Linked DNA regions of Daphnia pulex. The main gene of each other region encodes a partner of the protein of the gene in region 5 in a complex. Links are inferred from orthologs where the notes say so. Each region holds a gene or a part of one and is shown on either strand. Other genes may lie near its edges.

What was found.
Region 1: E3 SUMO-protein ligase RanBP2-like (region 5) and nuclear pore complex protein Nup205-like share a complex: the UniProt entries of both Homo sapiens proteins name them as parts of the nuclear pore complex. The link is inferred for Daphnia pulex from reciprocal best matches to the Homo sapiens genes RANBP2 and NUP205.
Region 2: E3 SUMO-protein ligase RanBP2-like (region 5) and nuclear pore complex protein Nup98-Nup96-like share a complex: the UniProt entries of both Homo sapiens proteins name them as parts of the nuclear pore complex. The link is inferred for Daphnia pulex from reciprocal best matches to the Homo sapiens genes RANBP2 and NUP98.
Region 3: the proteins of E3 SUMO-protein ligase RanBP2-like (region 5) and small ubiquitin-related modifier-like are in contact, whole or in part, in a crystal structure (PDB 1Z5S), measured with the Homo sapiens proteins. The link is inferred for Daphnia pulex from reciprocal best matches to the Homo sapiens genes RANBP2 and SUMO1. Residues at the interface, in NP_006258.3 of Homo sapiens: Asp2631, Val2632, Leu2633, Ile2634, Val2635, Tyr2636, Glu2637, Leu2638, Pro2654, Thr2656, Cys2659; in NP_001005781.1 of Homo sapiens: Asp30, Ser31, Ser32, Glu33, Ile34, His35, Phe36, Lys37, Val38, Lys39, Thr41, Thr42, His43, Lys46, Leu47, Ser50, Arg54.
Region 4: E3 SUMO-protein ligase RanBP2-like (region 5) and nuclear pore complex protein Nup214-like share a complex: the UniProt entries of both Homo sapiens proteins name them as parts of the nuclear pore complex. The link is inferred for Daphnia pulex from reciprocal best matches to the Homo sapiens genes RANBP2 and NUP214.
Region 6: E3 SUMO-protein ligase RanBP2-like (region 5) and nuclear pore complex protein Nup107-like share a complex: the UniProt entries of both Homo sapiens proteins name them as parts of the nuclear pore complex. The link is inferred for Daphnia pulex from reciprocal best matches to the Homo sapiens genes RANBP2 and NUP107.
Region 7: the proteins of E3 SUMO-protein ligase RanBP2-like (region 5) and SUMO-conjugating enzyme UBC9-B are in contact, whole or in part, in a crystal structure (PDB 3UIO), measured with the Homo sapiens proteins. The link is inferred for Daphnia pulex from reciprocal best matches to the Homo sapiens genes RANBP2 and UBE2I. Residues at the interface, in NP_006258.3 of Homo sapiens: Leu2651, Lys2652, Leu2653, Pro2654, Phe2657, Phe2658, Tyr2660, Tyr2666, Val2667, Glu2669, Glu2671, Glu2672, Asp2673, Asp2674, Glu2675, Asp2676, Phe2677, Ala2680, Val2681, Leu2684, Gly2686, Lys2687, Leu2688, Tyr2689, Leu2690; in NP_003336.1 of Homo sapiens: Ile4, Ser7, Arg8, Gln11, Glu12, Arg13, Lys14, Ala15, Arg17, Lys18, Phe22, Gly23, Val25, Val27, Lys30, Met36, Glu42, Cys43, Ala44, Pro46, Gly47, Lys48, Lys49, Trp53, Glu54, Gly55, Gly56, Leu57, Lys59, Pro69.

The regions. Positions count from the first base shown.
Region 1 is NC_060022.1:5,063,116-5,067,249, forward strand, and holds the start of nuclear pore complex protein Nup205-like, read right to left. Parts: upstream 2,801-4,134; 5' UTR 2,621-2,800; coding exon 2,486-2,620; intron 2,428-2,485; coding exon 1,955-2,427; intron 1,895-1,954; coding exon 1,124-1,894; intron 1,065-1,123; coding exon 637-1,064; intron 579-636; coding exon 429-578; intron 359-428; coding exon 135-358; intron 73-134; coding exon 1-72. UniProt on the Homo sapiens protein: Plays a role in the nuclear pore complex (NPC) assembly and/or maintenance. May anchor NUP62 and other nucleoporins, but not NUP153 and TPR, to the NPC.
Region 2 is NC_060021.1:8,259,612-8,263,769, reverse strand, and holds the start of nuclear pore complex protein Nup98-Nup96-like, read right to left. Parts: upstream 2,801-4,158; 5' UTR 2,644-2,800; exon of another isoform or gene 2,631-2,643; intron 2,540-2,630; 5' UTR 2,499-2,539; coding exon 2,447-2,498; intron 2,309-2,446; coding exon 2,066-2,308; intron 1,956-2,065; coding exon 1,561-1,955; intron 1,496-1,560; coding exon 1,252-1,495; intron 1,198-1,251; coding exon 902-1,197; intron 819-901; coding exon 602-818; intron 529-601; coding exon 100-528; intron 34-99; coding exon 1-33. Other genes in the region: condensin-2 complex subunit H2-like, read left to right, coding at 3,252-3,574, 3,644-4,035, 4,096-4,158. UniProt on the Homo sapiens protein: Plays a role in the nuclear pore complex (NPC) assembly and/or maintenance. NUP98 and NUP96 are involved in the bidirectional transport across the NPC. May anchor NUP153 and TPR to the NPC.
Region 3 is NC_060017.1:276,948-279,586, reverse strand, and holds small ubiquitin-related modifier-like, read left to right. Parts: upstream 1-1,211; 5' UTR 1,212-1,364; coding exon 1,365-1,373; intron 1,374-1,582; coding exon 1,583-1,723; intron 1,724-1,784; coding exon 1,785-1,856; intron 1,857-1,931; coding exon 1,932-1,991; 3' UTR 1,992-2,139; downstream 2,140-2,639. Other genes in the region: serine protease inhibitor dipetalogastin-like, read left to right, coding at 2,291-2,315, 2,372-2,500, 2,570-2,639. UniProt on the Homo sapiens protein: Ubiquitin-like protein that can be covalently attached to proteins as a monomer or a lysine-linked polymer.
Region 4 is NC_060027.1:5,445,039-5,448,497, reverse strand, and holds the end of nuclear pore complex protein Nup214-like, read left to right. Parts: coding exon 1-2,227; intron 2,228-2,286; coding exon 2,287-2,535; intron 2,536-2,591; coding exon 2,592-2,745; intron 2,746-2,827; coding exon 2,828-2,855; 3' UTR 2,856-2,959; downstream 2,960-3,459. Other genes in the region: CDAN1-interacting nuclease 1-like, read right to left, coding at 3,321-3,450. UniProt on the Homo sapiens protein: Part of the nuclear pore complex. Has a critical role in nucleocytoplasmic transport.
Region 5 is NC_060024.1:12,890,422-12,893,921, forward strand, and holds part of E3 SUMO-protein ligase RanBP2-like, read left to right. Parts: coding exon 1-34; intron 35-97; coding exon 98-1,294; intron 1,295-1,359; coding exon 1,360-2,712; intron 2,713-2,784; coding exon 2,785-3,500. UniProt on the Homo sapiens protein: E3 SUMO-protein ligase which facilitates SUMO1 and SUMO2 conjugation by UBE2I. Involved in transport factor (Ran-GTP, karyopherin)-mediated protein import via the F-G repeat-containing domain which acts as a docking site for substrates.
Region 6 is NC_060019.1:10,133,856-10,138,044, reverse strand, and holds the start of nuclear pore complex protein Nup107-like, read left to right. Parts: upstream 1-1,389; coding exon 1,390-2,169; intron 2,170-2,228; coding exon 2,229-2,574; intron 2,575-2,633; coding exon 2,634-2,985; intron 2,986-3,044; coding exon 3,045-3,513; intron 3,514-3,578; coding exon 3,579-4,189. Other genes in the region: protein BCCIP homolog, read right to left, coding at 1-50, 112-283, 342-505, 580-678, 739-1,023. UniProt on the Homo sapiens protein: Plays a role in the nuclear pore complex (NPC) assembly and/or maintenance. Required for the assembly of peripheral proteins into the NPC. May anchor NUP62 to the NPC. Involved in nephrogenesis.
Region 7 is NC_060018.1:632,407-635,622, forward strand, and holds SUMO-conjugating enzyme UBC9-B, read left to right. Parts: upstream 1-1,488; 5' UTR 1,489-1,641; exon of another isoform or gene 1,642-1,735; 5' UTR 1,736-1,744; coding exon 1,745-1,810; intron 1,811-1,885; coding exon 1,886-1,969; intron 1,970-2,082; coding exon 2,083-2,200; intron 2,201-2,262; coding exon 2,263-2,407; intron 2,408-2,477; coding exon 2,478-2,556; 3' UTR 2,557-2,716; downstream 2,717-3,216. Other genes in the region: receptor-type guanylate cyclase Gyc76C-like, read right to left, coding at 3,156-3,216. UniProt on the Homo sapiens protein: Accepts the ubiquitin-like proteins SUMO1, SUMO2, SUMO3, SUMO4 and SUMO1P1/SUMO5 from the UBLE1A-UBLE1B E1 complex and catalyzes their covalent attachment to other proteins with the help of an E3 ligase such as RANBP2, CBX4 and ZNF451.

The DNA.
Region 1 (4,134 bases), on a different chromosome or scaffold from region 5:
CTGAAAATCATCCACACTGGGTTCGTAATTCGAGAGCAATTTTAAAAATAGCTTTACACAGGCATTTCCAATCTACAAAACGAAGTCAATGTTAAGACTTTGTTTTACAACTTTTTAAACCTAAACGAACAAACCTGCCATTTTTCCGTTTCATTGCGGTACGCCCTACCACTAAATTTCAGGAAAACGGAATCTTTAACGTAGAATAAGTAGGGATCAAATCCAGGCGTTCTATGTCCAGTTCCCAAGTTGGTTGGGATGGATATATCAGTCATCACGTCCAGTAATTTAAGAAAGGCTCTTGTGAGGGGGTATTCTTCAGCTCGAGACTCAACATCTTCCAATTCCGTGTGGAGACCTAATATTCAACCCTTTTTTTGTTTTTTACTGGGCAGGAAATTAATATAGAATTATCTTCATGCACAAACCTTTGACATTTGTTGAAACTATGCTTGTAGTTGACAAAATCTGAGCTATTTCAATGCTGTTCCACAGTGTATATGCGATGTCAGGTGACTGGGCGAAAGCTGCAAGAACCTCCATGATCTCTCCCTTCAAACTCAATGGCACAGCACAGCCTACAATTTAGAAGATGTATTTTTCGGGTTCATTCGATAGCTATTTGCTTTTACTTACCTAAGAGTCCGATCATCACGACTAATGGTATCCATGTTGGATTCTCGGCCAAAGATATCCTGGCAACAGGGTCATGTTGGAGAACGATTCGCATTAACTTCAAAACGACCTGCAATCCCTGAACCTCCTGTGGTGTAATGCCTTTTGTGAGGGGCTTGTGGCGGTAGATGGTGTCCGGTACAGGGAGCGACTCTTGGCGCAAACTGTTAAAATATCTGTGGAGTGATGAGAAAAAGTGTTCCCAAGAGATCAAATTGCTTTGACCGCCGTTGCTGTTTTGTTTCAGAAGGGTAAAGGCTTGGTGAGCTGCCCTCTTTCCATTTGCCAATCCGCAAAGCATGCTGGCATAAGAAATGTAGAGAGAAGGCGGTAGCAAATCCCCGGCCAAACGAATAAACTTATATAGGGCCATTTGTCGCTGAGAGACTCTGCATTAAAAAGGCGATAAGTTTTTATTTTTATTTCAAAATAAACAATAACCATATACCTGTAGTTTACTCCAGCATTGGCCATGTCACTAGACCAAAATTCAAGACACAGTTCCAGCTCTAGAGGATCCTCTCCGTACAGAACGGCGATAAAGTTAAGCAACCATTGAAAATCCAGCGGCAGGTTTGAAGGTGGCTCAAGGCCCTCTTGCTGATAGACAAAGATGTTACGTGCAACTTCATCGGCCTTATTACGAAGATCTTTGATTTTCAGGGGCATTTGAACAATTAGATCCGTCACAAGTGAATGTAATCGCCGTAAGTAAAACTCCTCTTTGTAGATATGATTTTTGGTTTGTAGTAGATGACTGAGAAAATTCAAAGCTTTTCCCTCTAACGCGACGTCTAGGATGGCTTCGTCTTCGTCAACCTGCATTTGAATTGGAGCGCAAAGTCCAGATGAAAGCGAACGGAAAGTAGCCAAAGTCACTGCCCAGGCAAGTTGAACTGAAGCTTGAAGGCCAATGTTCTTCCAAGGAAGTGGTTCTGTCAGACGCTTTTGAATAGTCGCAACAAATGCACTTTCCGAAGTGATGGGTAACAACCGGACGACGTCTTCACTTTCTTCAGTTCTAACGATACCGCTGATATCAATAGCATACAAAAGAGCCATGAAAAGAGTGACGTTGACGTTATCGACTTGTTCGACAGATGAAAGGTAATTCACTAGCAGCAGTGTATCGTCCCTACACAGTCCATTTTGAGCAGCCAAACAAAATACAATGTCCGCTAACGACTGCCTTATTTCAGTGAAGAAATCATGAACTTGTCTAAAATAAAAAACACAAAAAATTAAAAGAAAGAAATATTAATCTTAATTGTAAACAAACCTTCTGTGTTTTGGTCCACCGAGAGCTCGGTTTTCGTGGAGCAAATTGATTTCCTTTTCAAGGTTCAGTTGACTTAACAGGGCTATGATTTGATCTACCAAACCTTTTTTCACCAATTTAACGGTGTACTCTGTTATTAAGTCAACAACTTGTTCGCTGGTGTCTACAGCCCATGAAATTCCTTTCCTTGCTTGGATGAGAATTTTTAATGAATTGACAATGGCACGTCTAGCATCATAGTACAGCAGTACTGAAATCAAACCCCTGGTTAATTCTGGATAGTAATGCATTTGCTGTTCTGCTGTGTGTAAAAGTTCAACAGCAACATTTTCGTTTAGATTAAACATATCAGAGATAATGAGTGCTTCATCCACAAACGATTGTTCAAGTGAAGCAGTCGTCTTTCTTCCAGGGAAAAGAACAGGTTCTTTGACAGATTTTAGGAGAAGGTTTCTGTCATCGAGATTTTTTGCCTGAAAATGAATTTGACTTGAGCTTAGAACACAGATTTAATCTGATTCATGAAATTACCGGCTGTTTAAGAAGGGCAGAGAAATCTGAACGGTGATTTTTCAATGCTTTCTCCAGATTGTCTAGGCTGTTGCATTGCTGGTTATTAATTGTGTCTTCAACCAGACTGTGGAGGTCCTTAGACTTGGTCCACATCTTTTGATTTTAAAACTTGTGACAGTTCAACCAAAAGTAAAGCTTATTTCACTAAAAAAACCTAATAACCACAAGGGCAAAAGCTGAACGTATTCGAAACTTGGACTTCGAATTCGTCTGTGGGGAATTGTCGTGTGATAATTTTTCGTACCGGTAGTCGGTAGATGATGCCAACGCCACCTACCATCACAGCGCCATCTATTCAAAGTAAATTCCCGCCAGTAAGAAAATTGAAACAATTGCGTTGAAATTGAAACACGATTACCGCCAAAAACCCATTTATCTATCTATTCAATATTCGTCCATGGATTTATTGTTTTCTCAAAATAGGGTGTGGATATTTGAAAAATAAAGTAAAAACGAATCAGCTTATTTTAAGAATGATCAGACGGTTTGTAATCAAAAGAGTAACAAGTAATATTTACAAATGAACTGCAAATTATCCTGTACACATTATCTTGTCCACAACAGTCACGTATAACACGCACAAGAAAAAAGATTGAAAAAAAAGACCGACCACACACGAAAATGAAAAATAATAATTAATCGACAAGCACAAAAAAGTTGTTCCCTTTTATCATTATACAAAAAAGCAATGCTCTCAGCTGCTTTTTTTTGTTGTGGAGGAGTGGTGGTGGAGTTGGAGCAGAAGGAAATACGGGAAAAGTTCAGTTTCGCTCGAGAAAACATTATAAAGATGACATCGCTTTTTTTTCAGAATTTAATGACGCCCAATTTGGGAGACCGAGTCCAACGCGTCATCTCGATACAAAATAGAATAATAGCACTGAGAATTTGTTTTTTTTTTGTTGTTTTCACCTGTACAAATTACACTAATGTCATCCAACTGACTTGATAATACAGACGCACACTTACGAAGACACGATGCGCTGTGCCACAAGTTGCCATAGACGAACACTCACACTCACTCACACATACAAAGTCGATTCTAGCAGAATTTTTCTTATAAGATAATTTTTACTTTTTAAAAAATTTTCAGTGTTCAAACAAGGTAAATGAGGAAAATATGAAGGAAGATCAGGGCGAGAATAGAGGTTTTTTTCCTTTCAATGACACGCATTCACGCACACACAAAAAAGAACTGTTGACGGTTTGATTGTGGCAAAAAATTCAAAAAAAAAAAAAAGAAACACAATAATCATAAGAGTTGGGTAGGTTGAAGTGAGGAGACGGACGTTTAGGAACGGTGGTGTCCACCTATTTGGGTATGTTTTCCTTGTTACATTTATTTACAGGATTCGCATATTGGGGCTCAAAATAAAGAAATGAAATCCAATCGTCAATCGCACTGCGAAGAGAGAAAAAGATATAAGGGAGGGGAGGAAATCGTAGGATTGAGCATTTTAATTTTTTTTATTTCAAAACCTCCCAAGTTTTTATTTCCTCAAATTCGAAGAACGGTGGTTTTGTTTATCGCCAGTCGTTGCCTCCTAGACGCTTTCACCATATGTATATCTTTATAAGGTCAAAAAACACATCCAATCTTTGATGCT
Region 2 (4,158 bases), on a different chromosome or scaffold from region 5:
GGGCGCTTGATTTGATCAATTCTTCTGTTTTTCCTGAAAACGCAATGAAACAATTAATGAATGAAATGCGTTCAACTGTGTTCATTCGAAGTGGCTTACCTGACGGTTCCAGCATTTTCCGGAAGAGAGGATGATCACTAGACTGAGAAATCTCACTTAGCGTCAAGATATACTGATGAATAGGCAACTGGGAACTGCTAGTTCCAGTAGTAGGCTGCGTCGTTCCGAAAGACATTGAAGTTGAGGGTGCTCCAATACTTGTGTTCCCAAAGAGTGAACCGGGAGCGCCAGTACCCATCCCACCAGTAGCTGTTCCAAAGCTAGGTGTAGTGCCAAAGCCAGAACTTCCAAAGGGAGTACCGCCAAATGGACTGGGCTTTGCATTTGCAGCCGATGCCCCGCCGAACATTGTATTTTGACCGAATCCTAGAGTCGACGGAGTTGATGTCACCGCACCAAATGTTTGCCCGGCTGGTTTGACTCCAAAAGCCGTTTGTCCAGGTGTGAACAACCCAGTTCCAGTAGTACCTATAAAAAATACAGTCGAAATTTTTTTTGGTGCAAACACAAACAAACAACAAAAACAATTTCCTGATCTAACCTGATGTACCAAATCCACCGAACGCTGGCGTCGTTGTTTGAGCGGGAGTAGTTCCAAATGCAGGGGTAGGTGTCGCTCCAAAACCAGTTATTGGTTTCGCACCGAAGATGTTGGATCCAGCGGACTGAGTGGTTGTCGTTTGAGGAAAACCAAAACCTGCTGTTGAAGTCTGAACTCCCATTGCTGGCTTTGGAGTGTTGAAAAAGCTTTGACTGGTCTGCAATAATCAGAAATAAAAAGAAAACGATAAGTAGGAAACAATCTCAAATAAAAAGGAATAAATAAAAATATTATCATTACCTGTTGTGGGGCACCAAATCCAAATGCGGGAGCGGGTGTTTGTGTCCCGAAAGCAGGAGTGGGTTGGCTCGTAGATTGGGGACCGAAAATCGATGAGCCAAAAGGTTTATTTTGTTGTTGCTGACCGAAGAGACTGGGTTGCTGCTGTTGTTGCTGTTGAGGTGCAGGCGTCCCGAAACCAAATGATGATTGAGTGGAAGTAGCAGGTTGACCAAACCCCATGGGTTTTGCTCCAAAGGCCGAAGGTTGAGCTTGTTGCTGTTGAGGCTGTCCAAATAAGCTCGGCTGTCCCATAGCTAAATACATACGAATTATCTCTTTTGTTCATCATACACAAGAAAAATACTTACTGGGTGCTGGTGTTCCGAAAAGGGGCGTCTGTTGAGTTTGTCCAAATAACGGAGTTGATTGGGTAGTCGTAGTGGTCCCACCAAATAATCCTCCAGTTTGTGGTGCGGTTCCCGGGGTCGGTCCTTTCCGTCCTACAGAGTAGTCTTCAAATCTAAGTTCTTCCAAAGATTTATTGTCATATTCTTTCATGCATGTTATACACTGATGGTGTGTGTTTATTGTCGTTTGGACATTGTTTTTCATCTAAAGACCACAAAATGAAAATTATAATTCATAGAGAAAAATATGTGTATGAATAAATATTATACCATAGAGTCTGTCCCTGTTAGAGGACTGAATTTTACTGGGGTACCAGTAATGGCTCCACCAGTACCACCAAATCCCCCAATTGTGTTACCAAAAGATGATGTCCCAAACAAACCAGTACCCGTTGACGGCGTTGCTTGTGCTGTGGGCTGTCCAAAAAGTGAGGTGGTTTGAGTGGGCTGGGATTGGGGTTGTCCAAACAAGCTACTGGAGGTACTAGTTGCTCCAAAGCCAAATGTAGGTTTAGCTTGAGCTCCAAATCCTGTATTGGTGGCTGCTCCAAACATGCCAGTTGTACCAGTTGAAGGGGCAGTTTGTTGGGTATTAGATCCAAACATACCAGTTGAAGCAGCAGGGGCTCCAAATAAGCTCCCCCCTGAAGTCCCACCACCAAATCCTTTTGTTACAAAACCAACAACATGATTAAGTGCTCTTTGATTGCAAATTAATGAAGTTCATCAAAGATATCTACTGTTTGATGAAATGTAACTATAAAACATAAAATACCTCCAAAGCCAGTATTAGTTGCAGGTGCTCCAAATCCTGCTGTAGGTTGTGCTGCTCCAAAAGTGGCAGTAGGTGTACCAAACAAACCTCCCGAGGGTTGGCTTGTTGTAGTACCTGTGCTTCCAAACATCGAGGTATTTGATCCAAAACCTGTAGATTGGAAAGTTGGTGCAGCCGTTCCAGTTGGCTTTGCCCCAAACGAAGACTGCCCAAATCCTGTTGATGTATTTGTACCGAAACCGCCTAAATGCAACAAACAATGGAGGGCAAACAAAAAATGTTGAAATTTAAATGGTGACGTAATGACAAGATAAGATACATTTGTAAACATGAAATATGCTTATGCAATGGTAAAGAATAATAATTGTCTGGATGCATTACCAAAAGTATTTGATGTTGGGGCTCCAAAAGTGGGTCTATTTTGTCCAAACATTTTTAAAGATGTATCATTGAAGAAGCCGGCACACTCCGCAGCTAAGTAAAAAAGAAAATGTCAAAAATGTCTCCCAATATTTATGGAGTACGAAATGCAACACCACAGAAGTCTTAATCTCGGAGAACTCACAATTTGAACTTACAATGGCTAGCGGTCGTCACACAAGTTTTTAGAACACAACAGTAATCTCAGCACGCGGGAGTCGTATGAACTTGCTGACAATTCAATGAAACGTTGAAAAGGCAAGACGGTGCTCATACGAATTACGAAAGGCAAAAAGCAGTTGCGGCGCACAAGAATGAGAATAGAAAGAAGGCCGTTTGACTGCGTCTTCCAGCGGTTAGTATTCATTAACTTGCATTTAGCAATTCAATATGTTTACACTATGATGACACGAAATTTAAGAGGTGTAAAATATTTTAATTAGAATTTGATTGTTGCAAAATTAAAGAGTTTTGGTTAGTTTTCGCAAAAATCTAAACACTGAGAGTCATTATAGGTGGCGCTACGTACATGGCCACCAAAGTTTGACCCTTGATTTAGTTGCATAGTGGGCCTTGTACTTCAGAACTAAACGCAACACTTACGTTTACTCCAAAATTCAATTTTTGAATTGTTGTGTTTTCTTGTTTGTTCAGGCAAAGTGGCTGACAGTTTATTTTTCAATATGAAAAATGTTCTTCTTTTTCTGAAATAGTTAAAGATTCGAGATATTTTTTGTTGTAATAAGTTTCGCAGTCGTGTTAAACAATGGGCCCTGGTCTTGCGAATTCGAGTGGGAGTTCTGTTGAAGAAGATGATGTTTTCAGTTCTCAATTTGCTGCTCTTCTTAAGCCAATTCGAGAGCTTACTAAACAAGGATGTTGGGAGCTGAATATAGCTGATAAATTGGAGGAATATGTCCAGTATATTCAAGATTTGCGGATTGAAGTTAATGTAAACGGGGAGCAAATGAAGCTAGATTTTGCTAAGGCTGCTATGGTTGTACAGAATAGTGCACAAATCTATAGCAAGAAAGTTGAGCAGCTCTGGCTTCTTCTCCAAGAAGTGATTGAGTTTTTAAGTTCGAATGGGTAACTAAAATCATGTACTGTACAATGTTTTACTTTCTAATAAAACACATTTCTCTCTACTCTCTATAGGAATGGTAATGAAAATGATGAAAATCAAACACCTGGCTCCAAGATAAGAAGAAATCACCGAAAAAAACATCACAAAGGAGATGTAGATCTTATCACAGAACCAATTCCACTGAAGTTTAGAAAGTTTGGCTCAAAATTAAAGAGAAAAGCTACAGCCAAAGACACAAAAAAGATCCAAACTTTACCGTATGAAATCTTGCAACTAGAAGAAGTTATAGGAAGCTTAAATTCTGTTAAAATTAAACTCTACACACTTTCAAACGAGCATTTGGGTTACCCCTCTGATCTAAGATCTAATTTCCCCTTTGACCCTTACACTTTGTTTTTGCAAATCCATCACGCAAACGGATTTAAAGTACATCCCGAGAGAGATGTCCTTAACGAAAACCAAGGTAAAATGAAAAATGTGGATATTTTTTTCCGTTTATTAATTTATTTTATTTTTAACGAAGAAGCTGAACATTCCGTCGCAGATTTGGTGCCAACCGAACCAGTTCCTATAACGTCTATGCACC
Region 3 (2,639 bases), on a different chromosome or scaffold from region 5:
ATTGGCTTCCTCGTCTGACTGTTGTTCAACTACCGAAGGATCAGTGCAATGCTTAAAAAATATTTCTGTAAAGAAGAGGCATCATCTTGTATAATAAAATTTATCTTGTTGTAATAAAACCCCCAAACCGTCTCAAAGGTAAGGTTTTATTTCATACTAAAGCGCAATAATCTAGAACAAAATAATTTGTACAACAACGCATTAATAGCTATATGGAATTAATTAATAAAAATGGCAATAAATTCGACTCCTAAAATGAAAATGACGCTGTTGGAAATTTTTCGTTGGGTTAGCAACAAGTTTGACTACTAAAAAAAATTGCTCGAATTCCAGTGGAAGGTTTACAGAATCAAACCAAAATTTAACATTCATTCAAAAATATCTAATAAAATAGTCTTCTATAATTTCGGTTTGCTGTACTCCATAAGACACAACTTGTCAGTAAGCAAGAAATTTTCTTAAAATTCCCCTGGAATAGGATGCTATTGGTCGATTAATACTGGTGTGTCGCTCATTCAAAAGAACGAAGTCAGCAAACAGAAAAAAATCCGACGATGCGAAACTGTAACTGTAACAACACAAATTATTTACTACCTACAGATGTCGCAACAATGTTCCTTTTTTTATTACGACAGCATTATCAATTCGTACAGGGAAAACCAGCAGTCGTCCCGCCATTTAATAATTCAAGTCATCAACTCACCAAATTCGATTCTAGTTTGCTAACTGATTATTGGAGTAACTCGTTTCTATGCTGCGGTTGGCATTTACAATCTCAGCAAAAATTTTTATGGAGTGAGTGCTATGGACGTAGTGACGGCTGTAAACCTATTAATTCATGAAACATTAATATGATGTATGATTATCAAATTAAATTAAGGGACATCAACTGCACGCACACGTTGCTAATAATCATCCATAACGATTGCTAACTGTGTAATAATTGCTTAAGCAGCCAAAATGTAGTCGAAGAAGATCTCAATTTATATTTTTATTGAATCAAGCCATTGGATATCATCAGTCTTAATTTTAAATATTATCAATCCCAAATTACATATTGTGCAATTGTTTCAAGCAAAATATTCTTCAAAGCAGCAAAAAATTTAAAAAAAATCCTACAAATTTTATTAATATATTCCAATTTATTTAAAAAAAGTTTTTTAATTTAAAAAAATGTACTCATTTCATACGTGGCCGGCCGTTGTTAAAATAAGTTTTTAGTGCAGTGCCGGCATCCAGACGTATATAGCTGGTGCGGCAACGTTTATTCTCGGCGCTTTTTTGGCCCACGCCATTATTCATTATTCTTCAATAGAGTCGTCTCAAACGTGCTGCTAGTTTTAGAAAAAGAACTTGTTTTAACCATGGCTGATGTAAGCACGTAACTATCTATGTTACTTTTTAAGTATTGCTAAATTTACCCCATTCGTTTCTTTTTCCATAAAATTTGTTTTCACGTGTTGTCTTTGCTGGATAGTCGATTTTTTTTTAGTTCTGATCATGTGTTCGATATTTTAACTGTTTGCCTTTGCATTACCCTATACCAATTTGGCTAACTGTGGTTTCTATTTTTAATATACAGGATCAGAAACCTGATGCCGGTGATGCAGGATCAGAGTACATCAAATTGAAAGTTGTTGGCCAGGATTCAAATGAAATTCACTTTCGAGTAAAGATGACGACACAGATGGGCAAACTCAAGAAGTCTTATAGTGAAAGAGTGGTAAGGGTTTTTCCTGTCATTTTTTTTTTCACTTATTGATAAAGATTTTCTTTGTGTTCAGGGTGTGCCAGTTACTTCGCTGAGGTTTTTGTTTGATGGAAGGCGAATTAATGATGATGAAACCCCTAAACAGGTATGTTGTGTCTAATGCACTTAGCTGATGTGTTAAATGATATGCAAGTAATGAATTTCTGTACTGCTGTTCTAGTTGGAAATGGAGAATGATGATGTCATTGAGGTTTATCAGGAACAAACTGGTGGCAATTAATTTAAGAACCTCGATGCATTCATGGAAAACTTTCCACATTTTCTGGACAAAACTGTCTTTTAATTTCCAATGTTGTCATCAAAATATCGCCCTGCTTTCTGTTCTTCATTTCCAATCGAATAAATAAAACCATTTTCGTAACCGAGAATGATCCTTTCGTTAACTTATGGGCACTCTGCCACTTGTTTCTATCAACTTGTATTGCTATGAATATTGACATCAAAGTTCAAGGATGAAAGGTCTTGACTTCCATTTCTTGCTTTTGATCGCAAAGTGCGTACAAACCTTTTCGAGAGAGGATGCATTGCACAACGCTGTTGCTTGGTAAAAATAAATTGTCAATCAAGAATTTATAATATACTTTATTTTGTGTTGTTCAGTTGTACTAGTAGTAGGTGCAACAAGTTGTAAAATTCCCAAAAGTTATAAACCACTTTGTGGGGTTAACGGGATTTCCTACACGAATCTGAAGGCTTTACAGTGCCATAATAAGGCTAGCCCTGGAAACAGTAGGCTATTTGAAATATTCTTTTTTAGGAAATGGTTCCATCCGTGTTGAATTTGTTTGGTTTTCTCAGTGATTCGAATAGCTTATAAAGGACGCTGTCTTCGACCTGATATTCGTGAATGTAACTATTCTTCAGTCGT
Region 4 (3,459 bases), on a different chromosome or scaffold from region 5:
GGGGAAACTCAATCACACCATCCTGTGATCCCACAAGTATCACCTGATAAACAAGCAATGTTAAGGAGTGTATTAGCGCATAGACCGGTAGCTCGGATTCGAGCCGTTCGCCCAGAATCAGTTGCAGAATCACGCTTGCTGTCAAATCTCACCGGTTTCATTCACGGTGAAGATAAGAAAGATACTTCTTCAGTTAGTCCTAAGATTTCACAAGCTCCTTCCAAGACCATATTGCCCACTGTCAAAAGTGTAAGCTATTCGACGCCACAGGAGATTAAATCAGACCTGCCTATGCCTAAAATGGGGTTACCCGATCATGGATTCAATGCTAAGGTCTCTATGGCATCGTCTCGAGTGGATTTTGCCAAACCTACTCCACGTCCGCCCTCCGAGGTCGAAGATGTTACTCCGCCGTCTTCACCAGTTAACTTGGACCAAAAGGCCAAATCTCTCGGCAATCAGCTGATGATGAGCAGTTTGAGTTTACCCTCGCGCGCTCCCGTAACTACCGTGGAAGATACAAAGCCGGTGTCTAAAATGGCCGATTTGAAACCAGTCGTTTCTTTGCCTACTTCGCTTCCACCACCTTACGAGCCCAAACCTTCTTTCTCTTCAGTGCCCACGTCAACACCTATGCTTTCGTTTGGTGCTCCCAAGAAAGACCTAAACTCACTCGGATTAGGATCGACCAGTTTGTTCGGGAAATCTTCCTTTGGTTCCGCATTTGGCGCTGCTGCATCCCCTTCTACGACTATTGCGGCTGCATCATCTAAACCAACAGCCGAAGTTACATCACCATTCTCAACTTCAGGAACGCCGGTTACCAGTGCCGCAATACCGGCTACGTCAGTTCAGCCGCAGACAACTAAGGTTGTTTCTACTTCTTCGTTTGGCTTCTCTGCTCCACCAGCTTTATCAGCCTCCGCTTCAACTCCGTCACTGGTGGCATCGAAACCGGCAGAGCCAGCCCCGACTTTAAAAACAAGTTTTTCTTTCAAAGAGCTTTCATCTCTCTCTGGATCTGCAGCTCCGGCTTCCATTACCACAACAACCGTGACGCCGGCTGCAGTAACACCTTCAAGTTTTACGTTTTCTTCTACCTCCCTAACACCTTCAGCAGCAGCAGTAACCTCTGCTATCGCCGCTACTCCCTTGCCGATTGTAGCGCCGGCTTCGACCACTTCCAACACTGATGATTCAACTACCACCGTTAAACCGTCTGTCGCACCGACAAATTTCTCTTTCAGTTTGGCTGAAACTCCTAACAGTTCCAGTACCAGTGTACCAGGAGCTACTGCTCCTTTTACTTTTAATCTCTCTGGAACCGGTTCAGCTACTACTAGTTCCACACCCACAGGATTTGCAGCACCTTCTTCCACTCCTGTTGCTGGGTCATTGTTCTCTTTGACTCCATCAAATAAAGCACCCGTCGCCTTTGGTGTAGTTAATACTTCAAGTGTGTCCAGTCCCTCAATCTTTGGTCAAGCAGCAGCACCCGTTGTCCCAACAACGACACCAGCGGCCACATCTGTCTTTGGCCAAGCACCACCTCTAGTTCCCGCGACAAGTACCTCCGATTCAGGCGTGGCAACTTTATTTGGCCAAAGCAAACCAATCCAGAATGTATCATTGACTACTGCTGCCCCTGTCACTCAATCCGCTCTTGGACTGGCAGTTGCTCCCACTAGCACACCTTCCGCCTTGTCGCCAGCACCAGCCACCACCACAATTTTTGGTCGTCCATCAGCAGCCCCTGGAAGTTTGTTCGGTCAGTCTGTAACGACTGCCGGACCTTTCCCATCTTCCTTCGGACAGATTGGGTTTGCCCAGCCTACTTCAACAACTTCGACTACATCAAGCACCTCAGTCTTTGGACAGTCAAGCTTTGCCAAACCAGCTCAGGCTAGTGGAGTACAGCCGACTTCATCCTTTGGTTCACCCTCCGTGTTTGGGCAATCAAGTGGTGGAACACCCAGTGGATTGTTAGCAGGGAGCGTTTTTGGACAAGGTGCGGCTCCAGCAACAACCGCGATCAAACCGCTGTTTGGGGTATCTACATTTGGACAAACATCTGTGAATGCTCCTACTTCTTCAGCTCCAAATGCCAACCAAGGATTTGGTGCCGGTTTGTTTGGTAGCATGGGACTCGGTGGTACCCCAACCTCTGCCAACGCTAACCGCAATGTTTTCGGCGGATCGTCTGTATTTGGTGGTGGCACTCCATCTGGTAATTTAACATTTATGTGTGTTTATTTTTTCATCTTCTTACGATTAAGCTAATTTAAGGTCAAGGAACGTTCGGAGCGACTTCTGCGCCATCTTCTTTTGGTGTTCAACCTACTACTGCTGCTCCAGCTTCTTCGTTTGGCAGTACTTCACCGCCAAGTTTTGGAGGCTTTGGACAAGCCCAACCCGCATTCGGAGGAGCTGCGACCTTCGGTGGTTCCCCGCTATTCGGAAGCAAACCGACGTTTGGTGGTGGAGCAACATTTGGTTCTCCCGTAAACAGCAATGTTGCGCCAAAACCAGAAGCGGGTAACAATAATATTTCTATTCATCCATTTTCTTTTATTCATAATGTTTCTTGAAAGGATTTGGTGCCTTTGCTGCTTCCAGTAACGTCCCTACATTTGGAGTACTTGCAAACTCTGGACCATCTTTTGAAACTTTGGCAAGTAGCGGTAATGCCCAACCAGCCTTTGGAGGTGCAGCTTTTCCAGCAAGCAATCCACCATCATTTGGAGGGTAAGTCGGAACAATAATTTGTGCATAGTCTTCAAATTCTATTGAAGTGCTTAAACTTGAATCTACAACTTTTTTTTTTTAGGGGAAGTTCTTTTTCGTCGTGGCGTTAAATTCGTTGAAAGCTTCCTCTATTCTGGCCAAATTTACACTTATAGTTTTCTTTTAGATTGCCATTGAAATTTTGGAAATGGAAAATACACGCGTCCTTTGTAAACACGCTGTTTTGGGCATTGAATAGTTTATAATGAAATATTTCTAAAAGTACTTTCTTCATTTTTATCTTAAATGTCCTTTAAACAAAAGTCATTCGCTTACGCAAATACTCTCATTTCGTCGTTGCACTTCTGCAAGGCCCACTATTTTATTGCAGGATTTCATAACTGTTTTCCATTTATTATTGATTTTTGTAAATTACCTTTCGGTCACTCGCTTTGTTGATGCCTTCGTATCAGGAACGATTAAGGATAAAAACAAACTTATCGGTATTTAAAATATTTCCAGTGTATTTTTTAACTTGCGCTTTTCTAAACCATTGTTAAGAAAACTCATCTTCAAATCAAGATTTTAATAAGTACTTATGAATTTTGTTCCATAAAAATCATGTTCATAGGAAGAGCATCTCTTATAAGAATGATTCGGTTCTGGTGAATTTTCTCTAAATCTTCTACATATCCAAACCAATAGATAACTAGGCCCGGTCCAAATCTACGCATT
Region 5 (3,500 bases):
GGACGCTCAACTTAGACAAATGGTGCAGCGACAGGTAAGTTTGACATAACAGTTGTCCCTTCAATTCATTTATGTAATGTATCAATTGAATATTTAGGAGGAATTTAACCAAGCAATTTCAACTGAATTAAAACAAATTCGGGCCGAAGTCGTGGACATCAAAACTTTGATACAAAAATTGGAGTCACATCTTGAGATGCAAGCAAAACATGAAGTGAAAGAGAGTCGGAAAAAGTCGTCTGAAAAGGCATCTGAGACCTATGATGATAGATGCTACGAAGATGGCGACGTGGAAGATTGGGAAGAACAAGAAGACGAGGAGGAAGAAACCGACCTCGATAATTTAGTGAAATTGAAAGGAAAATTGAAGAGCTCTGGTCCCTCTGCCCCCCAGATCAATATGCCGTTGTATGCTCCTCCATTTGCTCCTGCAACGAGACCGGCATACGGATATCCACCGACCTATGGAGCTCCATTCCACCCTTCTGCATACCAGCAATATCCAGGCTTTCCGTACGTAGGAGTTCCAGGTGCACCAGGTCCTTTCCCCGTTACGCCAACTTATTCGTATCCACCGGGAATACCCCATTGGGGAATGGACCAAGTTACAACTCCGTCACCAGGATCGACTTATTTGCCCCCTGGGATGGTTGCTCCACCTATTCAACAGCAGATTGCTGCCCAACCCCCAGCTCCGTCTGTTTTTTCCCGAATTGGAACAAAAGATACATCACTGCTTGCAGCAACTTTACAGCAACCTACCGTAATCAGCACTGCACCAACACCCATAAACGACGTGGAATCGGCTTCTGAGGCCCTCCGCAGAGCGGCAGCTGGTTATTCAGCATCTTCCACTGCCCCTGCTCCTCACGCATATCAGATTAATGTTCCCACACAGGCTACACCGGAGAAAATAGTTGATAATACTTTATCTCCAGCCATCCAGCTTTCTACTCGAAGCCTGCTTGCCAATATCCCAGAGCCAGAGTTTTCATCTGTTACCACTCCGGATAAATCTAAATCAGCCCGTGATCGCAAAGCATCCACTTGTTCTGATGGAAGCTACGCTCCAGAAGAGGAGGTTGACAACTACCCAGATTTCAAACCTATTATTCCTTTACCGGAAGAAGTGGAAGTAAAGACTGGAGAAGAAGGTGAAGACGTACTTTTCGATCAAAGGGCCAAACTTTTCCGTTTTGCCGAGAACCAATGGAAAGAGCGTGGTGTTGGCCAACTAAAACTTCTTCAAGACCCGACTACGAAGAAAGTTCGATTGCTGATGCGCCGTGATCAAGTAGGATGGGTTGTTTCTATTTCTATGATCGCAGGATTAATTATTTGTTGTTCTCTGTTATCTAGGTCTTCAAGATTTGTGCCAATCACACAATTACGGCGGACATCAAATTATCCGAAATGAATAATTCAGCCAATTCGTGGATCTGGGCCGCCATGGATTTTGCAGATGGCGAAGCAAAACTGGAAAAATTTGCTGCCAAATTCAAAACTCAAGAAATATCCACTGAATTCAAAGAAGCCTTTGAAAAGGCCAAAACAGCCGATGTTGTTAAACCTAAGCCTGATACTGCAACTACAACAGACAAAAAGGCTAGCGAAGCACCAGTTAAAGGATTTGGGGACAAATTTGCTCCCAAAAGTGGATCATGGGCTTGCAGAATGTGCTATGTCAACAATTCGGCAGAAGCTACCAAATGTGTATCCTGCGAAACACTCAAACCAGGGACAGAAGCTCAAGCACCAGCCCCAACTCCTTTCTCTCAAATGAAATTTGGAATGCCTTCTGTAGCATCTGTTGCTTCGACAACACCTACGGCGTTCAAAACTACCACGGTAACGACTACCCCTGCTAGCACGGGATTTACATTCTCATCAACACCTTCAACTGGAGCTCCCGCGTTTAGTGGCATGAAGTTTGGAGTTCCAGCTGCCGCAACAACACCAGCCTCGACAGCGCCTTCTTTTAGTTTTTCAACTCCAACTCCCGTTACTACATCAGCTCCTGCTACAATTAGGTTTGGTGTGGCTGCCGCAACACCGACTTCAACAACTACACCTGTTTTTGGAGTAACGACGACGCCCAGCTCGGCTGCGGTAACATCAAGCTCTGCAGCGTTTTCGTTTGGAGGAAGCAAACCTGCTTTTTCATTCGCTCTGCCGTCTTCCTCAACGGAAACCGTGGTATCGAAAGCTCCATTTTCATTTTCACCTCCCAAATTGGCTACGGCCGTAGTCACGGCTCAAACTAATGGTCAAACCGACGTCACCACCAAAGTGACACCGTCAACCACAACTGGAGTAACACCGACGTCTTCCGTGCTACCTGGCTCAATTTTTGGGACTCCCAAATCAGCAGTTGAAACTAAACCAATTTTTGGAAGTTTTTCCTTTTCCACGCCGGTTCCTGCTGCTGTAACACCAGAAAAACCATTGGAGGAAAAGAAACAAGAAGTCAAGCCTAGTCCTTTCGCCGGCTTTTCTTTTAATAGCAATCCGACTCCTGCTTTAGCACCAAAGGCGCCTTCAGATGAGAAAAAATCCGAAGACAAGCCTAGCCCATTTGCTGGTTTCTCCTTTGGGGGGTTCGGAGGCGTTGCAAATAAAGACGCTGGAGAAAAGAAGGCTGAACCTGGTATGCTGTTTTCTCTGTTAGCCCAACAGCAGTCTTCGACCGGTTTTACCATTGCTCCAAACAAAGTATGTTTCTACATTTTCAATTGTAATTTTGTGCAATTTCATATAACAGACTTGTCATGTTTTAAATTCTAGGAGTTCCCTGGAACCGGAACACCACTTTTCGGATCAACTACTCCGAGCGATAAGACGAAAGATACGAGCAAGGAGGAGGATGGAGAGGAAAATGAAGGAGAACATTATGAACCCAATGTTGTCTTTGAGCCAGTAATCCCATTACCTGCCTTAATTGAAGTATCGACTGGCGAAGAAGAAGAAAAGTTGTTATTTATCGATCGAGCCATCCTCTATCGCTACGTTACTGAAACCAAAGAGTGGAAGGAAAAGGGAAGAGGTGAAATGAAGATTTTGGAACATAAAATCACTGGCCGAGCTCGTTTGTTGATGAGAAGAGATCAGGTTCTCAAAATCTGTTGCAACCATTACATTACTCCTCAGCTGTCACCGAAGCCTTTGCAGACATCAGACCGTACATGGACATGGTCTGCACAAGATTTTTCTGAGGGTGAACTAGTTCAGGAAACCTTTGCACTGAGGTTCAAAACCATGGATCAGGCCCAGAAGTTCAAGGGCGTTTTCGATGAAGCCCAGAAGAAATCTGCTGACATCAGTATTGAAAAAGTCGAAGCAGCGAAAGAAATGAAAGGCCAAGAACCTCAAACGTTCGGTGAGAAGTTTAAACCCAAAGAAGGATCCTGGGAATGCCAGGGCTGCCTCTTGCGCAACGACCCTAGTGTGATGAAGTGTCCATCTTGTGAGACTAGCAAACCTGGAGAGCCTAACAAAACCGA
Region 6 (4,189 bases), on a different chromosome or scaffold from region 5:
GCTGCATCTGACTCGCTTCGTACAGAATATTCTCCTAATATTTCACCCATCTATTTGACGAAATTTTATTACAACCTACTCTACTTAGGCGTGGAATTAATAGATGAATACCTCTGAAATTGGTTCTTCTTCTGCATTAACCCATAATATGGTGGCTCCTCCTTTGACTTTTTTTTTCCTTGATTCAGGATCTTTTCTTGTAGATTCATGAAGTTTGGAAATTAAAATGAAGTGTGTAAAGTCAAAAGGCTTTCCAGATTTTTTTGCTTCATCAATCTCCTTACTATTAACAAAATTTTACATTTAAACTTGGGATATAATTCAAATTAAGTCTTGTATACCATAGATTTTCCAGTAGGGGAACAGAAACTTGAGGTGGTATGTTTATGAACCTTTCATTGAATATAAGTCCTATCTGGTTAGATGGATCATCAAACAATCCACTCAGTTTCTTCTGTGTTTTTTCCAACAGGTACTTTTTTACTTCTTTAATACATTCCACATCCTAGGAAAAGTAAATAACAAAAAAAATTGGGTTAATTGTAATTTGTGTAACACAAATTCAAAATTTTATCTCACCTTGTGATGTGTCAAGTTAATTACAGAAGTAATTCCAAAAACTTCATCAAGAGAATTTCCTTCATCATCACTATCAGGTTCATCATTATCCACACATTGCTGAAGAAGTAGATATCTTTAGTAAAGTACACAAATTACATCTTCACAAGATTTTATTACCTGTAATATACTTCCAATGTAGTTTTGCTGAATGATGAGTTCCGTCAGACCACTTAAATTAATATGAGCCTTTAGGAAAAGCTGATGCATTAGACTCTTGATACCGTGAAAATCTTCAGCGATTGGTGATTGACCTTCAAAGTCGACTTGAATCTCTCGGTCGTTCTCTCCAAGTTGCTCATCTTCACCCATTTCTTCATCTTGAGAATCATTTTCTTCTTCTTCTTCCTCTGAAGAATCGCTGCTATCTTCTTCCATAGGCCGTTTAGTATTGAAATTCGCCATGATTTTTAAAGACAATTTTTCACACGTGTCAAAAAGTCAAAAACAAACTTAAGTTTGTCTGCTAGGAAGGGGTAGGAAGGAAGTGAAGTGAACATTCAAATTGTTTGAAATAAAATCTTAAAAATTGAGTTAAAAAATAGAATAAAATTGTATTAAATATTATAACAATTATAAAAATCAAATCATTACTATTTCAATTTCAATTAATTATAATTATTTTAATGAATAAAACTTTGAACGTGAATTGCAACGCCCTTTTACTTAGTCTGCTACGTTACAATAAAACGAAAAACGGAAAACTTCAAACCTTCAAACTTCTTCTTTATAAGACAGTGAATTTTATTGTATCTTTTTAAAATAAGCACAATGGAGTTTCAATCTCCAATTATTGCCGGTTCTAACTCAACTGTTACTGGCAAACTAAATCTTCCTGGTCGAAGAATAAAGCACTCACTCGAAAAGACATCAGACATGTTGGGGGCCAGTTGCCTCCCTTCTCCTAACCGACATAATACAATGTCTTTTATGTCTGATGATCTTAGCCACACTATTTTCGAAAGTGATCCTACATTTACGAGAATTGGTGCTGGTTTACAAAGGAAAAATCTGGATTCGACAAGAGCAGACTTAACAGTGAGCAATGTATCACGAAAGAAACGAAATGAAGAACTCATGAGCATCCTTCTAGAAGAAGAAGTTCCAGGAGTAGAAAATGTCTTAGAACTATTTGAGAGATTCCTCAAAACATTTCAGTCATATGGGGCAGAACATCAAGTGTTTAATCAGTGTGCAGAATATGAGTCAGAATGTGGAGAACAAGTATCTGCTTTGCGAAAATTGATTCAAATGGCCCCTCGTGGACACAACAAACTATCACAAGCACAAGAATTGGAGCAAGAACTGAGACTTGAGCGTGACACATGGAGATTGGTTGCATCTCTCTACCAAGATCGTTTAAACTCTGAATTTCATGACAGTGAAATGGAGTCTGATGAAATCTGGAGTGGATTGGATGATGTTACAAGTGAAGATGACTTGGTAAAACAACTCTATGACAAAAATGCCATAATCAGACAGGCTCAGCTCGTAGTCGATTGGCTGGAACAACGAGCGGCTGATGTCTATCACGATTCCCATTACAGCCAGGTATTTTTTAATGTAATTAAAATTTTCTTTTATTAAATAATATATTATACTCTAATTAGGTGGAGTTTTACGGAGATGCGGTTGCCGGCTGGGAAAATACTCTTCATTCTTTGGTCAGTAAAAAACGAGGGCTTAGTACAGATAACGTCGAGCAAAATATGGTTACTCAAATGGATCCCGATGCTCCTAACCGAGAACAAAACAGACGTCTTCACCCACTTGACAAAGAAGATGAAATGCGTTTGCTTCGTTCTGTATTTGCTCGACTCCGTTGTGGACAGCTGGATGAAGCCCAGCAGCTCTGTTTCCGAGCAGGTCAACCATTTCGGGCTGCAATTTTGGAAGGATGGAAACTGTTTCATGATCCCAACATGAAATCTCGCACGGATGTAGCCAACACGAAAGGTAATTTCCAGATTTGTAGAAACCAATGGATTCGATAAAAATATTTATCTCAACTGTAGAGTCGCCATCTGGAAATCCTTATCGTGACATATGGAAGACGATGACTTGGAAAGAGTGCGAAAATGTGCAGTTGTCGGAGGAAGAGCGCGCAATCTTTGCTCTTCTTTGTGGACATTTGAAAGCCCTTTTACCTGCCTGTCGTTCCTGGGAAGATCAACTGTGGGCTCATCTGCGTGCCATGATCGACCACTGTGTCGAGAAGGAACTTCGTCGCTGTGTCAATTATAAACGGCAACTTCAAATTCTACCAGACGAATATTGGAATCAACAGTTGACCGTCGAGTCCATTTTCTCAACTTTAGCTGCCTCCAGAGATAAGACTTTGATCGCCCAAGGCCGTGACCAATATAGGTGACTAATTCTTTAATTTGTCTAATGCGAAATTTACCAAAGCAAATTTTGAAATGCAGGATCATACAGCGCTACCTTATTATGGATGATGTTGACGGATTACTTGAAGAAATGTCGTCTTGGCTGAAACAAGGTGACAGCTGGAGCGTTCACCTACGCCCTCACATGATCCGGCTAATGTCCCATCTTGCTCTGTTCTTCCGGCGCATCGGTCGTGGCTCATGTGACGATTCCATCGGATCCATCCTGGAAGCTTACGTTCTACAACTTGTCAATCTTGGACGAACTGATTTGGCGGCTGTCTATGTTGGACAATTGCCTTTGCCAGAAGATCAAATTCGCCTGTATGCTCAATGCCTCGTTATGGTAGAGGAACAGGAAGAATCCTGTGACGACGAGGAGCGAAGGCGCCTCCTATCTTTGGCCCAGGATGTCGGACTTGATGTCAACGCTATCGCCAAACAAGTTGTAATCAAACTTTGCGACCAGGGCGGAATGGTCCAACACGTCACTGATGCTTCTCTACAGGTGATTAATATAGATTTCGATCTGCATTCGTGCATAGCGTACTCATAATTGTTTAATACTTTTAGGTAGCGACCACGGCAGAAGATGAACGCCGGATACGTTCACTGAGCTGGTTGTTAATGGATCCGTCAATGCGAAGTCAATTGCTTATCCAAGCCAACACTCTCATGCGGGGATACCTTCTCCGTCGTCAGATTGAAGCTGTGAAGCTGACGTTCCAGTTGACTCCACCCGACACAGTCGCCATATTGACCGAACTATGGGAATCACGAACTGGATTGACGGATTTGCCCACTGAAGTCGAGGCTGCTGTCCGTGAATACCTTTGCATCCAGACTTACATTGATGCACTAGACGCCTTTCAAGAATGGTTCACACGTTTCCATCACTCCAAGCCCAAGAAAACAGAAGCTACCGTTCAACAACAGCGAGGAGGAGCCAGTTCTCAACTATCATTCACTGAAAACTTACTCAAAGAACAGCATCTTAAGCAACATCAAGTTGAAATTCAACGCTGGCAGGCAGCCGTCGATTCCCTCACGCAATCAGCTATTGACAAACTGTATAACGTCCTACTTTTTCCTGACGGAGGCTGGATGGTTGATAGCATGTCCTTCGAGGAGGAAAATTCTCCCCGACAACAGCAACAACAGTTGTTGCGACAAACTTGCATCCC
Region 7 (3,216 bases), on a different chromosome or scaffold from region 5:
AGTCACTGGCATACGTCTTACAGCAGAATAATCCGTTACTTATTCTGTTAATGTTGTCTAATTATCTATCCCTCATTCTTGCTACCGCACTGGCTACAACGATTGATGTTTGTTGTTGGTCGTCCTTTCTGTAGTCTGAAATCCCAATCTTAGATGTCTGTTACATTGGCTACAGGAATATAAACGTTTGTCACAAAATTTACATTTCAATTTTTTATTATCAGCTCATTTTAAATCAACATTTTGATCTTTAATTTATTGATAAAATATCATTATCATAAAGAAATTTACTTTCCACATACCTGCTCACTTTGGTGACAGTAATCTCCTTTCATGCAACGCCATATATTTGCATTCAAACGTGCGAATATGTGAAGGGAACACGAAGCTTTCAAGACGCGATTCCCCAGTACTCATTGGTTACGCCTAATAATAAAATTATAGTTAGTAATCTGAAATAAAACATTTACAATTATGCTCTATAATATGATTGACATTTCTCTGTAACAGCCAATACTGACGAGGAGTTATATTCAAAAGATTTTTTTAGATATGGACATTATTCTATTACTTGACAGTTAACTTTCTCAGAAGCATCTTCCTGAGCCCTTCAGGAGTCATTTGTTATTCAGTGCAATGGTAAAAATAAAGACAGACTCACAACAATATTACATAGCACACTACGTTTCCAAGCAAGAAATTAGTTTAAAAACTGGCACATGTAATAATCTTTGAACTATACAAAATAGTGATTCAAGCACTATTGTTTTGTGAAATCACCAATACATCATATCTAATGAGTATTTAACAGGATATTTTCCGCTTTGAGATACCCAAGTATGTTTCATTCCCTTCCACTTTGGCACTAACACATTCAACCCTTCTATGCGAGAAGTACCTAGCTGAAACAACCATAATAGGGAATAACAGATCTTCATTTAATAAATTTAGAGTTTGTGACCTAATATGACAAATTAACTGATGTTTTCATACCTTTCTGAACATTCTATATCAATTTTGTAGTTTCCCCATCCACAAAGTTAAACTGAACTGAGGCTTTAGGATTAGAGATTATATCATTCTTAATTCATTCGAGACATGGTTGTTTGCACCTTTTTTCGTTTTGTCTTCGTGTGATACCTTTGTGGTTTGTCACTAGTTGATTCACGTGTTCGAATATTCTGGAAGCATTACGTAAACGACGCTTGGCTTGTCTCGAATGTTGAACGATCAAAGCTACATGAGATGGAAGATATCAATGATTTTTTTTAACACTTGATTTTTCAATTTGGAATTTAAACAAAATACAAGAACTTAAGATGCATGCCTGTGTGACTCACTGCTCTGTTGTTTTTTGAACCATCTGGGCGCCATCTTTCATAGGCAGTGGCAGCATAGCCAGTTCATTTTTAATTTTAGTTGATGAAAACTAAAACTAAAAATGCTTATGCATGCTACAGCCAAAATGGTTTGATTTCATTGAAATCCATATTTTACATGCAAATGTTTCATCATTTATTCGTTTAAATCCCCAAATTAAATTTTAAATTGATTTGTAATTATTCGAATTACCTTAAGGCAACCCTGGCAATAATTGTACGAAACTACACAGCTAAATTATTTGGCAGCCGTTGAAAAAAGGTAACTATTATTTATTTAAGAGCTGTTGCATCTTGCTTTCTTCAGTCATATTCACACTTTCTTATTACATCACACTGAAATTTTTATTCTCTAGTGACCAATAATGTCCGGTATTGCTATTGCTCGACTTTCTGAGGAACGTAAAGGCTGGAGGAAAGACCATCCCTTTGTAAGTTGCTGGTTTGCCAAACGATAGTTGTTGGGTTGTGTGTGTTTGATTTGTGTATCTTTGCGTTGCCTTTAGGGTTTTGTTGCCAGGCCCACAAAGAATCCTGATGGAACCCTCAATTTGATGAACTGGGAATGTGCTATTCCAGGCAAGAAATCGGTAATGAGTTTTACACTTAAAGATCTTACTTCACATTGGTGTCAGATATACTTACCAAATTCACTGTTGTTTGAAGTAACAATATTAAGTGTAACTTGTGCATACATTTACAGACTCCCTGGGAAAATGGATTGTACAAAATCCGTATGATTTTTAAAGATGACTACCCCTCTTCTCCTCCAAAATGCAAATTTGAGCCCCCACTTTTCCATCCAAACGTCTATCCATCAGGTTGAATCAAATGGCTATTTGAGTGTTTTGTTTTAGCTAACCTTTTGGCATTTAATATCCAGGCACAGTTTGTCTATCATTGTTGGATGAAGAAAAGGACTGGAGACCTGCAATTACCATCAAACAGATTTTGCTTGGAATTCAAGATCTCCTAAATGACCCCAATATTAAGGATCCGGCTCAGGCAGAAGCTTATACTATCTACTGGTAATGATTTTTACACCAGTAGACAACTTGAAAGTTTGGATTGTAATATTTCATTTGATTATTTCTCCAGTCAAAATCGAATGGAGTACGAAAAACGTGTTAGAGCACAAGCCAAGGCTATGGCTGCCACCACTGATTTGCTGTCTTAATTTCCCAAGTAAATCCAGCTGTCAAGGAATAAGTTAACTTCTTTTTCTTTTCCACGTGCTCTATTTGTTTTTTAAAAATTCTTATTGTCTTCATTTCAATACTTACTTATCGTCCAGAAAACATACTCCGATCTGAAATAAAACGCTAAGTAAGGTGTAACACTTGTTGACCTTTTTTTTTTTCAATTACGTCACTTGACTATTTTATTTGGTTGTGACCTACTTTGTTGATATGCGTTTTATCTGGCGAATATCTGATTATGAAGACCAAACTTCTTTTAACTACTAGAATTCATCAAAGGCTCTCTTACCTGATTAAAATTTGAACTAAATGGGTTATCGATGTACAAAGTGCAAAACAAGGTATGTAAAACAACAACCGATTTATCACAATATTTTCAGCAGCGACAATATTACAGATACACTAAAATCAAAGAAAACATTCCGACTTGAAATCGATTAAAAATCTTAACCGAGAAGAATCGGAGATCGGGTATGGCATTTTCAAATGGCGAAATATACGAATCACGAAACAAGTAAAGCAAATTTGTCATCATGTAAAAAGACTGTGGAGGATGCAAGAATAAGGAGGCGCAATTTCACACAACGCTTTCTCTGTCATCACGGTGGAGGTCGGAAAAGTCCTCTCCCGTCTGCGGA